Mytilus edulis: one gene and its partner. The protein of the gene in region 1 purifies or fractionates together with the protein of each later gene. This does not show direct contact. Links are inferred from orthologs where the notes say so. Each region holds a gene or a part of one and is shown on either strand. Other genes may lie near its edges.

The links.
Region 2: the proteins of bone morphogenetic protein receptor type-1B-like (region 1) and mothers against decapentaplegic homolog 1-like purify together in Drosophila melanogaster (affinity purification with western blotting; 3 studies listed by BioGRID). This does not show direct contact. The link is inferred for Mytilus edulis from reciprocal best matches to the Drosophila melanogaster genes tkv and Mad.

The regions. Positions count from the first base shown.
Region 1 is NC_092352.1:12,171,942-12,179,642, reverse strand, and holds the start of bone morphogenetic protein receptor type-1B-like, read right to left. Parts: upstream 3,018-7,701; 5' UTR 2,981-3,017; coding exon 2,908-2,980; intron 1-2,907. Other genes in the region: uncharacterized protein, read left to right, coding at 4,160-4,347, 5,381-5,649, 6,276-6,491, 7,187-7,270.
Region 2 is NC_092351.1:44,919,602-44,927,057, forward strand, and holds the start of mothers against decapentaplegic homolog 1-like, read right to left. Parts: upstream 3,350-7,456; 5' UTR 3,177-3,349; exon of another isoform or gene 3,169-3,176; intron 1-3,168. Other genes in the region: glutathione S-transferase C-terminal domain-containing protein-like, read left to right, coding at 5,783-6,133.

The DNA of each region.
Region 1 (7,701 bases):
AGCTATAAATGTGGATTGTGATTAAATAGTTGACACAACATAGGTTTATGTCACATTATGAATTTGGTTTAAGAAATTAAAATTAGAATTTAAAATTTTTAAATTGGATATTAAACTATTATGGTAAATATCCAAAATATAGATACATGATTATATTCAGGATATTATAGAATTCTAAAAATTAATTTTTTGATGAAATCAAGTAATGTTTAATTTTAAACTTTGTAGGCCTCAATGTGGACCAATTTTATAAGTGAATCAAATATTTAAAACTGATCAATTCAAATTTCTGATGAAGTTTGCAACAATAACTGCTCATTTAAATACATCATACAATATTAAAATGTAATAAAAAGTGCTTGTTATCACTGAATGGTAAAGATTATTTTAATTTATCAGTTGGTAGTAAAAATGAAAATACATTGTATATTGTATAAAACAATGATTAAAGTTAATTCAACTACTATTCTATACAAAGAACGATAACTCCAATTGAAAATTAATTGCTATTGCACAATATTGTGCAATTAGATATTTCTTGCTATTGTGCAATACTGTGCAATTGAAAATTTCTTGCTATTGCACAATACTTGATATGATAATACTGAATCCTGATTTGGACTTGAACTTGAAAACTGGGCCCATAATCAAAAATCAAAGTACATGTTTAGATAAAGCATATCAAAGAAGCCCAAGAATTTAATTTTTGTTAAAATCAAACTTAGTTTAATTTTGGACCCTTTGGACCTTACGGTAGACCAATTTGACAACTGGACCAAAAATTAAGAATCTACATACACAGTTAGATTTGGCATATCAAAGAACCCCATTTATTCAATGTTTGATGAAATCAAACAAAGTTTAATTTTGGACCCCCATTTGGACCAACTTGAAAACTGGGCCAATAATTAAAAATCTAAGTACATTTTTAGATTCAGCATATCAAAGAAGCCCAAGAATTTAATTTTTGTTAAAATCAAACTTAGTTTAATTTTGGACCCTTTGGACCTTACCTTACGGTAGACCAATTTGACAACTGGACCAAAAATTAAGAATCTACATACACAGTTAGATTTGGCATATCAAAGAACCCCATTTATTCAATGTTTGATGAAATCAAACAAAGTTTAATTTTGGACCCCCATTTGGACCAACTTGAAAACTGGGCCAATAATTAAAAATCTAAGTACATTTTTAGATTCAGCATATCAAAGAACCCAAATGATTCAATTTTTGTTAAAATCAAACTAAGTTTAATTTTGGACCCTTTGGACCTTAATGTAGACCAATTTGAAAACGGGACCAAAAATTAAGAATCTACATACATAGTTAGATTCGGCATATCAAAGAACCCCAATTATTCAATTTTTGATGAAATCAAACAAAGTTCAATTTTGGACCCTTTGGGCCCCTAATTCCTAAACTGTTGGAACCAAAACTCCCAAAATCAAACCTAACCTTCCTTTTATGGTCATAAACCTTGTGTTTAAATTTCATAGATTTCTATTTACTTATACTAAAGATATGGTGCGAAAACCAAAAATAATGCTTATTTGGGCCCCTTTTTGGCCCCTAATTCCTAAACTGTTGTGACCTCAACTTCCAAAATCAATCCCAACCTTCCTTTTGTGGTCATAAACCTTGTGTTTAAATTTCATAGATTTCTATTTACTTATACTAAAGTTATGGTGTGAAAACCAAGAAAATGCTTATTTGGGCCCTTTTTGGCCCCTAATTCCTAAAATGTTGGGACCAAAACTCCCAAAATCAATCCCAACCTTCCTTTAGTGGGTTTAAACCTTGTGTTAAAATTTCATTGATTTCTATTCACTTTTACTAAAGTTAGAGTATGAAAACTAAAAGTATTCGGACGACGACGCCAACGTGATAGCAATATACGACCAAAAAATAAAAATTGTTGCGGTCGTATAAAAACAGAAACCTTATGTTATAATCAGTTTTAGCCATATTATCTTCAATTGGAAAATAATTCTAAATTATTCCTGGGCGAACTTTTTTTTTTTTTTTATCTCAGATCAGGCCTTTTATCTTTGCCCTTATAAGTTATATGGTTGGCTACTGACCCCATACAGATCAAAAGAGGGTAAGTAAAATCCATAGGGGGTGAGGCCGGATGCCGAATCCCCTATGAATTTTATTCACCCTCTATGGATCCGTAGGGGGTCAGTAGTTAACCGTATAACGAATTTATCGGACGCTGGAATTTTTCTAAAAATAAACAATGAAACACAACAATAGCAATAGATTACGTCACCATTAACGCGTCATGAACCCCCTATGAAACTTACTAACCCCCTACAGTCTCATAGGGGGTCACTACATGACGGTGTTTACCCAATCACAACGTGATAATTTATCTGTGGTCCGATTAAATTTATTATCTATGAAATATATTAAATTCATTTGTTTACATCACACATTTCTGATAACAAATGCAGGTAAATATCAATACATGCAGGCTTTATGGTGTGTCCCCTAGAACTTTTTAGCAACACACATTCACAGTTATGTGATGCTTTATCATGTTTATTGCTTGAATCAGATGAATTTGATGAAGTTTAAATTATTTGTTTATAAATATAAAAAGATATCATGAAAATAATATCATTTAACTGCTTCAAATTTTCATTAAGAATATACATTTGAATAATATCTTATCTAAGAATGTATACAGCATATAAATCCTTGCCTTTACTTCATTTCCTTTTTAGGGGGCGTGCTCTTCCTGTGTCAAAGTGTGTATTTGAGTTCAGTATTTTTGACAATTTTTGTGTGTAAATATTGAAGAAACCGCTTATTAAAATAAATTAAAGTAGTATTTTCCTGTAGGCAGTGGCCATTCTAAAAAACTAACATATGAAAAAAAGATCAATTGATATTAATTACCTTGTTCAATGAAAAATAGGGAAAAAGTTGAAATAAACAATGAAAGGAAAAGTATGCGACTGGTCGTCGCCATATCCCCTTTTGTCCTTCACCTTTACACAGTGGTTTCCGCTTCCGGTTTCAAAGTTGTCTGCTTTTCAAAGCACTTCAGAATATAGCAATTTGTGGTAAAAATAATGTGTGACAGCTCCTCATATTTCGGTATTCCGCTATAACGAAATATTATTCGATTCTCTTTAAATAGAACATAACATATCTTAAATATTTTATGTCATTATCAGTTTGGAGACAACCATCCAAAGCCCAAAGGTAAATTTAAGGTGGACAACTTATCCCTCAACTGAGTTATATCATAAATAGTAGCAAGGGTGATTAGGGCTAATAAGTCTATACCCCTAATACTAATAAAAGTCCCCCACATTAACAATATCACAGGCAAAGTCATTCCTAAATTATTTGGTGTGACATCATACATTATGTTATTTTGCTGTACTGTCACACCACTGTCCCAGGTGTGAGGTGAGGGAAGGGTTAGATGTGGGTAGTATATATGGAAGAAGAATAATATCTTATTTTTTCCTTTAGTTTCTTATCGACATTTTATGCAAGAAAAACATTCAAAAGCATATGATTTAAAGCGTATCTTATCACACCAAAAAGGAGCATATGAAGCACCAATTAACCTCTGAAGCAATTGCATCATATTGATTTAATTGAACTAAAATGAACATTTTTATAGACTTGGGTGGATTTAGAACTTAACTATAGTTTAAGGGACCTGCCTATTGTTGAAGACTTCTAAATGTCTTTTAGTTCTTGAGACAACGAAAAAGGAGCTTCACACATATTAATGGCTGTGTATGAAGTTTTAGTTGCATTTTTTCCAGGGATCTACAAATATTGATAAATTCATTTTCAAACTTCATGAATACATGCAATGCCTTGTGGTAATATGCATATCTATTGCTCTTCAATTTTTCTTTTTATCAATTACTTGATAGCTTGGGTATCATGAGTAATTCATAGCTCACTGTTTTACTTTATCAAAATTTCCCACGTTAAAAGATTAAAATACTAAAAAATCACTTCTTAAAGCAATCTTGGTACAACATATTCAAGATGTTATCAACAAAAAGACACTTGAGATCAGAGAAAACTCACAGTTACTGACAGCTAGTTCAAAGCCACTAACAACTAATAAAAAAAAAATCATGCATCTAAGTTGGCATTTTTGGCAAAATCTAGAGTATAGAAAAGCTGTAAACAATAAAAATAAAAGGAAAATGGTAATTAAGTGTAGTTTATATGACCATTATAACTATATGAATTTTAAATTTCAGATCCAAAACATATTTAACTGCCTTTACTGGTTTGTACATGATGATTGTTTGGAAGGGGATGATTGTATAGAACTTTGTTTACATCAACAATATTTGGATAGTGAGTAATTTACACTTACATCCACCTTCACTTAATGCTACAATGATTTATCATGAGGAAAGGATAAACCATTCTCAATGTAAAGCTTACACATTGGAAGTCACCTGAATGCATTATAATATATTTTGTAGGCACTTTATAGTTTATACAATCTTTTATTCAAAATAGGTTTATAGAGTTGTGCATAAGCTCAGCTTCTGTAAACCCTCTACTCAAGGCATTTCATGAGAGAGGTTAATACTTATCAGTTTATTTAATCTTCATCTTTATTAGGAGAGGATAGGTCCCATTTGATAAGTTCAGGATCACTTGCTGCATGAAAGAAAACATTTTGTAGACACCATAACACATGATTTTGGCAGCGACTCTATAATTATATGATGAAAGATCTTTGATTTTGTTTTAAACACCAGTAGTAAATTTTCATTAGATTATGAGATAGGTCTCATTGGGGTCTAAGCGTGACTCGGGATTGCTGATTTTTTGTAAGCGGGACACGTGAAAGTCAAATTATTGTGTCGTTAAAACCGGAAATGAGGTCTAGCAGGACCCGGGAAATGGCAAAAAAATGAGAATTGCTTACGTACATAGTGTTAGCAGGATACGGGAATCTGACAAAACAGTAAGCAGGATCCGGGATCAGAACGCCCCATTGAGACCCCTATGAGCAGATAATAGATTAAGTACTAGTAGGAGTATGAACATTTTCACTTATTTTCCCAACAAAACTAAATTACAGATTCAATCTGAACTGTGCACTGTGGAGTTATGTTCTGTTTATTTTATTTGTCCAAGTTAAGGCTTATATACAATTGTAGATTTTAAAAGGAATCATTATACATATAATTATAATAATTGTTTTTTTGTGTATAAAATTGTTCTGTCTGATATTTTTCATCTGTAAGAAAAGAATTGTTAGATTCAGATAGTTCACTGAAACTTGGAGATTTTTGGGCATGAAACAAAAATAGAAGTAGAATCAGTCTTAAATCCATGATTGCATGATTTTTTTACATTGTCTTTTATTTTGTAGCAATAGCAATGCTTAAGCAAATAGTACAGACAGTCCTGCTTGTGACATCTACAGCAGTGGTAATACCCTACACAACGTCATTGCTTGGAAGTCTACTGTATGGTTGGCCTAATACAAAGAACAAATATCGTAGAGCATTTAGTCCAAAAAAAGTTTATGCTTTTAATTTTGCCGTACTACAAAAGTTATATACTACCTTGAAATATGCATCTTCCTACCTGAAATGGAAGAAACTCTACAACAACCTAGATCCATTTACTGTGAGGAAGGTAAATAAAGAACCTAACTGCCAGATTTGTACCTTCAAATGGCCATTGCCTTGTCTTTCACTGTCAGAAAGGTAAACCTAACTGCCAGATTTGTACCTTCAAATGGGCATTGCTTGTCTTTCACTGTCAGAAAGGTAAAGAACCTAACTGCCAGATTTGTACCTTCAAATGGCCATTGCCTTGTCTTTCACTGTCTTAAAGGTAAACCTAACTGCCAGAATTGTACTTTCAAATGGCCATTGCCTTGTCTTTCACTGTCATAAAGGTAAACCTAACTGCCAGAATTGTACTTTCAAATGGCCATTGCCTTGTCTATCACTGTCAGAAAGGTAAAGAACCTGTGCTTTGTTATTTAATGTCAGAGGGAAGTCAGTGCTTTGTAAATCATTGTAAAAAATATGAGTAGTCAATGTCAATGTAACATTCAGGATTTGTTCTTCACAGTCAGAGAGGCATATAGTGTGCACATTTTGTCTGGCTATGAGGAGTATAAACTTACTTTTTAAAGATAATGTATTGTATTGTATATTTACAAATAAATTCTGTTTTAAAGAACAATTAAACTGCTGGTAAAAGGGACTTATATGTAAGCTTGTTATATTTTAGCTTTTGTTGTTTTATTTTAGAACATACCATATGGGAGAAATGATTGTACGCTAGACTTGTATCATCCTAACATTCCACGAAAGGATGGTGGTGATATGTCAATGCCAGTAGTAGTGTTTGTGTATGGAGGGGCCTGGTCTTCTGGAGAAAAGACCATGTATGGTCCACTTTGTGTAGAGATTGCCAATAGACTAAAAGCAGTAGTGTGTTGTCCTAATTTATCAATTTATCCAAAGGTTGGTTGTTGACTTTAAATTCAAATTCATACATTTTCCTGTACAATTCCTATGTCACAAAACTTATGTATAAATTATTAAGTCATAGTAAGAAATGATTGTTGAATGACAACATTTACTCCAATTGATCTTTGGTCATTCATTGTAACTCTTTCATAAACAACTACAGTTTGGTCTATGTACTATATTTTGTATTTTTTAAACCTTCTTGTGGTTTAAACTGCATTTGAGCAGCTGTTCAAAATGACCTACATGTTAGCTTTTTTTATTATGTTTCAAAACATAATATATGGAAGAAATGACTTGTATCATCCTAACATTCCATGAATATCTTTTTGGATTCAACTATTTTTTGCAGTTAATGTGATCACAAAAGTAAGAGAAAATACCCCTACAATGAAATTTACACATTACATCATTTCCTAAGAAATTGTAATGTGAACACAATGTTAATGATACATGCATACATATTCAACAATAACCAAATAATTTACAGATTGTATTTATACCAGTACATGTACTAAAACATGTACTAAAACTTATTTTAAAATCTTATTTTATTGAGTTTTTATACCGTAGGTTTTTGTAATACAATGGACAAATTATAGAAATACAAGAAGTGAAAAAAGTCTGACCTAGTTTGTACTATATAATATGAGATTGATTCCATTGATAAACAATAATTGTTTTTGTAGGGCTATGTGGATGATATGATACAAGATGTTGTGGACTGTGTGGCATGGGTTTGTGACAATCCACATATACATGGTGGTAATAAGGTATATAATGATAGCAATATGCTTTTTATCAAAGGATGTAAATAGTGTTTGTATCCTTATTGTATTTTATTTATTTGTTCAGAATGCTGACCTGCCCAATTATTGGACTTACAGGAGATCTCCCCAGTTAGAGGTTTTGACCTGACAAATGCAATACTGGGATTTTATGTTTTAATGAATTAAGCTTAAGAATATCAACCGTTAAAATGCAATTGATAAATTTCATTGGTAGAATTGATTTTTGTAAGAGGGACAAAACATTTAAATAAAAAAATATAGTATGAGGTATATATTCAATTTAAGACTGATCCATTGCATAAAAGATTGGAAGAAAATATTTTTCCTCAAATGGAGTAGATGAATAATGATTAGTTTCAATCATGAGCCATATTTGTATGTATGTGCTTAAGAAACTACTACAAATGACTACA
Region 2 (7,456 bases), on another chromosome or scaffold:
GCAGATAGATCTTGACCTGATAAACAATTTAGCACCTGTCAGATTTGCTCTAAACGCTTTGGTTTTTGAGTTATAAGCCAAAAACTGCATTTTACCCCTATGTTCTATTTTTAGCCATGGCGGCCATCTTGGTTGGATGGCTGGGTCATCAGACACATTTTTTAAACTAGATACCCCAAAGATGATTGTGAATAAGTTTGGATTAATTTGGCCCAGTAGTTTCAGAGGAGAAGATTTTTGTATAAGATTACTAAAATTTACGAAAAATGGTTAAAAATTGACTATAAAGGGCAATAACTCCTAAAGGGGTCAACTGACCATTTCGGTCATGTTGACTTATTTGTAAATCTTACTTTGCTGAACATAATGGCTGTTTACAGTTTATCTCTATCTATAATAATATACAAGATAATAACCAAAAACAGCAAAATTTCCTTAAAATTACCAATTCAGGGGCAGCAACCCAACAACAGGTTGTCAGATTCATCTGAAAATTTCAGGGTAGATAGATCTTGACCTGATAAACAATTTTACCAAATGTCAGATTTGCTCTAAATGCTTTGGTTTTTAAGTTATAAGCCAAAAACTGCATTTTACCCCTATGTTCTATTTTTAGCCGTGGCGGCCATCTTGGTTGGTTGGCCGGGTCACCGGACACATTTTTTAAACTAGATACCCCAAAGATAATTGTGGCCAAGTTTGGATAAATTTGGCCCAGTAGTTTCAGAGGAGAAGATTTTTGTAAAAGATTATTAAGATTTACGAAAAATGGTTAAAAATTGACTATAAAGGGCAATAACTCCTAAAGGGGTCAACTGATCATTTCGGTCATGTTGACTTATTTGTAAATCTTACTTTGCTGAACATTATTGCTGTTTACTGTTTATCTCTATCTATAATAATATTCAAGATAATAACCAAAAACAGCAAAATTTCCTTAAAATTACTAATTCAGGGGCAGCAACCCAACAACGGGTTATCCGATTCATCTGAAAATTTCAGGGCAGGTAGATCTTGACCTGTTACACAAGTTTACCCCATGTCAGATTTGCTCTAAATGCTTTGGTTTTTGAGTTATAAGCCAAAAACTGCATTTTACCCCTATGTTCTATTTTTAGCCATGGCGGCCATCTTGGATGGTTGGCCGGGTCACCGGACACATTTTTTAAACTAGATACCCCAATGATGATTTTGGCCAAGTTTGGTGTAATTTGGCCCAGTAGTTTCAGAGGAGAAGATTTTTGTAAAAGTTAACGACGCCAGACGACGGACGACAGACGACGGACGACGGACGCCAAGTGATGGGAAAAGCTCACTTGGCCCTTTGGGCCAGGTGAGCTAAAAATCTAATTACATGGTTAGATTCAGCATATTGAAGAACCCCATATTGAATTTTTGTTGAAATCAAACAAAGTTTAATTTTGGACCATGATTTGGACTAACTTGAAAACTGGGACCATAATTATAAAAAAAACTAAGTACATGTTTAGATTCAGCATATCAAAGAACCCCAAAAATTCAATTTTTGTTAAAATCAAACTAAGTTTAATTTTGGACCCTTAATGTAGACCAATTTGAAAACGGGACCAAAAATTAAGAATCTAAATACACGGTTAGATTTGGTATATCAAAGAACCCCAATAGTTCAATATTAGATGAAATCAAACAAAGTTTAATTTTTGACCCTTTTTGCCCCTAATTCGTTGGGACCAAAACTCCCAAAATCAATACCAACCTACCTTTTGTTGTCATAAACCTTTGTGTTAAAATTTCATAGATTTCTATAAACTTTTACTAAAGTTTTTGTGCAAAAACCAAGAAAATTGCTTATTTTGGGACCTGTTTTTGGCCCCTAATTCCTAAACTGTTGGGACTTAAACTCCCAAAATCATTCCAACCTTACTTTCGTGGTCATAAATCTTATTTTAAAATTTCATAGATTTCTCACTCACTGTTTACTTATGCTAAAGTTATTGTGCGAAAACCAAGAACAATGCTTTTTTGGGCCCTTGTTGGCCCCTAATTCGTATACTGTTGGGACCAAAACACCCAAAATCAACCCTGACCTTCCTTTTATGGTCATAAACCTTGTGTTTGAATTTCATAGATTTCTAATTACTTATACTAAAGTTAGAGTGTGAAAACCAAATGTCTTCGGACGACGACGCCAACGTGATACCAATATACAACCAAAAAATTTTCAATTTTTGCGGTTGTATAAAAATGTCTGACACCACAACGTACATTAAGTAAATGATTATCATGATTATTGTATGCATTTATAGCTTTTGCAATATTCAAGTTAAAACTTATATGACTTAGGTGACTAAAATGGTGCCATTGTGGCAGATTCTTGGGTCAAGTGCTACAGATCCGAAACAGGGATAAGGTCTATTATGTGTTTTTGCATTATTCAGTTTTTATATAAATAAATTTTTATTTACAATTTTATCGATACATGTTATTTTGTTTTTTAAGTACATGTAGTTCTTCAACAAGATCACATCACATATATATTTAACATAGATCACAAGAGACATATAAAATACATCATTTATGGAAATTACATGAGGTATATTTCTAGGTGTCAACACATCATACCAACTAAAATCCATATATTCAGTGGCGGATCCAGAAATTTTCCTAAGGGGGGACCGCTCCAGTCATGCTTCAATGATTCCCTATATAATCAACCAAATTTTTCCCATGGATCCGCCGATGATATTTCTTTTACTTAACAGCTAAAAAAATGTATGCCAAAAAAAAAATCAAACACTTCTGCATCTGTCTTTCACTTTCAGTACTGTTCCAGACCTTATGCTTTTTCGTTGTAAAGGAATATCACATATTAAACAAAACAAATCAAAAGTGTGTATTGCAATAAGTGAAAAATGGCCTGGTAAAGAAGAAAGCAAACAATAAACAAAGTCAAAGGTCTCAAACAGGCCCTATAGTTCCCTTATTTTTGGAAACTGAAGAACTTGTCATTCATCTAATGAACAAGAAACACCGACAAGTGTACAGAATCTCTTTTAGATGTTATATAACGACTCTATAAAGTTTGTTTAAATTATTATTTCAATACAAATGAAATGTAATTCTTATTTTGGACAACGTGTGGAGCTAGACAAACTGTGTTGACACATTCACAAACGTTAAGATAATTACATTTCTACCTTTTGATGTGTTCGCTGTCCAGCCAATCAACAATTAACGCCTTCAGTTAATTATTGGTCATTAATTAATCGATCAATTTGGAAGTGTGTTGAGATAATTGCATACAAATTTCCACTGTACTGTGTATGGCGACAGAATGACTGAGAGCCGAATCACTCAAATACAATCCTTTGAATTAATGCTCATCCGGAAGTAACCTCTCATTTCCCGTAATTTTAAGAAAACAATACTTTTGATATTACGTTAAATATTTTTCAAATACTTAAACCGGTATATACCATCAACAAAAAGTGTACCAAACTTGACTTTGTTTCAAAAGTTTTACCGGGAAAGATACTTTTACTGCCGAACTCATTTTCAGGCGGATAGTTTCTAAATAAGATTTGTGAATAGGGGGCACTGGCGACAGGTTGACGGCTTCTAATAAATTCAATCCAGTGCCGATAAAATGCACCCATAGCACTGTAGTAGGTCAGAAAAACACAACGCCAATTGTAGAAAATAAAAGTTAGTTTATAAATATTCACACTGCCAAATTTACCTGTTTCTGTTTGTAGTAAGTTCACAGTTGTTTCCCGTGTTTTGTTCTTACCTCCCCTTTCAGGGATTCCCCTTTTTAAAAGATAAACAAAGATTTGCACGTGGATTTGTGTCGGACAAAATAAGGTATAATTTCATGAGGTATAATAAAACTTTGAACCAAAAGATCTTCGCATCATGGTATCCCTACATAATATTTAGATAACTTATAACGGATGTAATAAAAAAAATCTAATAGGGCACCAAATAGTCTGATCTAAGTCTAAGCAAGGATTTGTATAGTTAATATACAAATCTTTGGTCTAAGATCTTGAAAATGAAAGGTTATACAGTTATGCTGTGCATGCTGCTTTGGAATTGGATTTTTTATTTGTATATTTTTTTGTATTATTTGACTATAGAGTGTCAAATTACAGGGCCCATGAAGGGCATAAAATCAGTTACAATAGACCACTTTCGAGTTCATCCGTCACCGGCAAAAACTCGTCAATTATGCACGCCTTTATGACGTCATTTACCAGATAGAGGGGGTCGCCTGTATCCCTGCACTATTTACGTTCATCAAGCGTCTTAAGGATCGTCTTTGTGCAGGATAAACTAGAAATAATGGTTGCTCTGTAGGTACTTACTGACAATTCCCTAACGACAGCAGTGTTGATTGTCAATTTTGAGAATTCAATTTGCCGAATAATTCGTATAATATAGAACTATAGTTTTCCAACCACTCGCTCAACATTGGAAGGGAAGTGACGACGCCCCGAAACGCACAAATGACGGTGATAAAAGCGCGTATAATTCACGAGTTTTTCCGGTGACGGATGAACTCGAAAGTGGTCTATTGATTGACATCATTGGTAATCAGGTAATTACAACAAGCTTTGGTCAGAATTACAACAACAATATATATTGTGAATTAAGGATTACAGATACATTATATGCATTCACTCTCAAATTATCTACTAGACTTAGTGTCAATATAAGATGATTTATACCTGATCTCCTTTATTATATGAATATATAATATAGGCTTATACCTAAATAATGATAATATATAATATAGGCTTATACCTAAATAATGATAATTCTAAAACATTTACTTGAAATGTTTTTATATAAGGTAATCTGGCGCAATACCCGCAAGGGTAGTCGCCATTAAACTCTATTTAGTCATGTTAGTAGTAGTCCTTTATTTGAAAAAGTGAGACAAAGCAATCATACATTCCATCGTCATTGTTGTAGTCGTCAGCGTTGTCCACAAATATTCACTCTGTGGTTAAAGTTTATGATATTTGAATAACTTTCTTAAACTATCCTGGATTTCTATCAAATGTGGACAGAAGCTTGTTTATGATCAAACGATAGAATCCAGAAGTAAAATTTCCTGATTTTTTTGTTATTTTTCTTATATAAATGGACTTAGTTTTTGTGCCAGGAAACATAACATTTACTCTGTGGTTAAAGTTTTTAAAATTTTAATACCTTTCTTAAACTATCCTGGAATTCAACCAAACTTTGACAGAACCTTGTTTATGATCAAAAGCTAGTATATATAAAGTATATATAAAGATTGAAATTTTGTTGAAATTTTGTTCCTGTTTTTCTGTATTTTACTTATAAACGGAATTGGTTTTTCTTCCAGTTAACATTACATACAGTCTGCAGTTAAGTTTATTAAACATTTATTAGATTCATAAACTATCCTGGATTTTTACCAAATTTGGACAGAAGCTTCTTACTATCAAAAGATAGTATCGAGGAATATTTAGAATTCCCCCCCCCCCCCCCCCCCCTGAATTTTGTTGAGCCTGCGATTAACACCAAAATTAGGGGAAACACTGGGTTCTTCAGAACCTTTATAAATTTTTTTCATAAGAGTTAAGATTTCTTGGGTCAAAAGCCATAAAAATTTGGAAGATTTATTTAAGTTTTCATTATTATTACAAATAATAAAAATGTATTGATAATATAATAATTAAAACAATGGATTGAGTTCATGTATTATGGGTAATAAGTTCTCTTTTATATTGCAGATTTTGACTGAAGATTACAATGTACTAGATAGAATATGGCTTCTAATATAATATATCTTGAAGGAAAAGCAATAGATGATGAAACAATTTTAGTTCCACTGTCATCTGCAGCCCTTCTGTTTGTTGTTCAATACTGCAGCCCGGAATCATTTAGTTTAAAATTTACAAGGACAAATTTGGATGAAGCTAATTGTTTTAAAATCAGTCGTGATACCTTAGATAAAACAGAACATGTGTTTGACATTGATGATGAACAAGACTGTTTGCTTCCAGTTATACGACAGACAGATGATATTTGGGTCAGATCAGGGTTATGTGGAACCATAAGATACATTGTGTCACAGGCACATATTGACAGACCGCAAGAGCATCTAGACGATCTTTTGGTATGGCTTCTTTATCATGTCCATAGCTAAATTCTCTTTTTGACAATGAAAATAAAATAGAAATTAGAACTATTATAATAATTATATTTTGATAAAAACTTGAGATTTTTTTATGTACTCAGAAATTTTAGCCATTTGTAAATGTTTGAAATTTTTCTTATTTTTATCTCATTATAATAAATTCTTTATTTCAGTTGGTAAATTTTGAGTTATGATAATAGTCAATTTATATGCTTTGATCATTTTTGGACTTGTACCTCAAGGCCAAGCATGAAATCTCTTCACGATTTTGTAATTTTAGTTGTTTTTTTTAAATTCAAGTTAGGATATTATTCTATTCAATTAGTTAGTTAGAACAGTTAACAATTGATTTAACTTTCTGCGCAAAGGCAATTTATAATTTTACTTAATAGTTACATGTTATTCTTTAGAATATGAATTTTATTAAAGCTGAGCTATGAAATTATTCTTCATTACATATAATGCTTTAACATTTCAAGTAGAATAAGCCAATTATAATTCTGTAAGTTTTCCACTGAGAGCCAATTTTTCGACACATGGTATGAATTGATAAGTATTTCCTGTCATTGTTATATAGTTACATTGTAATTTAATTAGAAAAAAGGTGATTCATATAAGTAAATCCACTTTGGATAAGCTTTCAAAAGTGATTATATTTCATAATAAGTCTTTTTCAAGGATCTGATTTTAATGATTTGACCATTAGATGTAAACAATGTAAATATAATGTAAATATAATGCATACTTTCTTGATAATGCTTGCAGACAATATATACCTTTTTATTTATTTACATTGTAACTTATTGATGCAGAATTAGATATGTTAGATTTTTCTCTGATTTTAATGATTGAGAGGAAAAATGATATATTTATTTTTTGAGATGATTCAATATATTAGTTTCCTAAATATTTTTGAGATTATTAAATATATTAGTTTCCTTGATATTTTTGAGATGATTAGATATATAAGTTTCCTATTTTAATAGCTCTCCTATTGCTTTTGGGGGTTCATGAAGGAACAAAAGTTTAACATTAGTTAAATGGTTATTATATAATTATCATTACAAAAAAAAAATACTTGTTTACTTGTAACAAGCAATGATCATTTAAAATACCTCTAATCCTTCAATAGATTCTGAAATGGCAAATTGTGAATTTCAATGATGAAAATCTATATCTTTAAATTAATTTTGGTCTAGAATTTGATACATTTGTAGTTGCTCCTTAAGTAAACGTGTTGCTTGAATTAACCAACATGCTTTTGACCTTATGCAACGACACTGGTCCAAGAGTACCATCAAG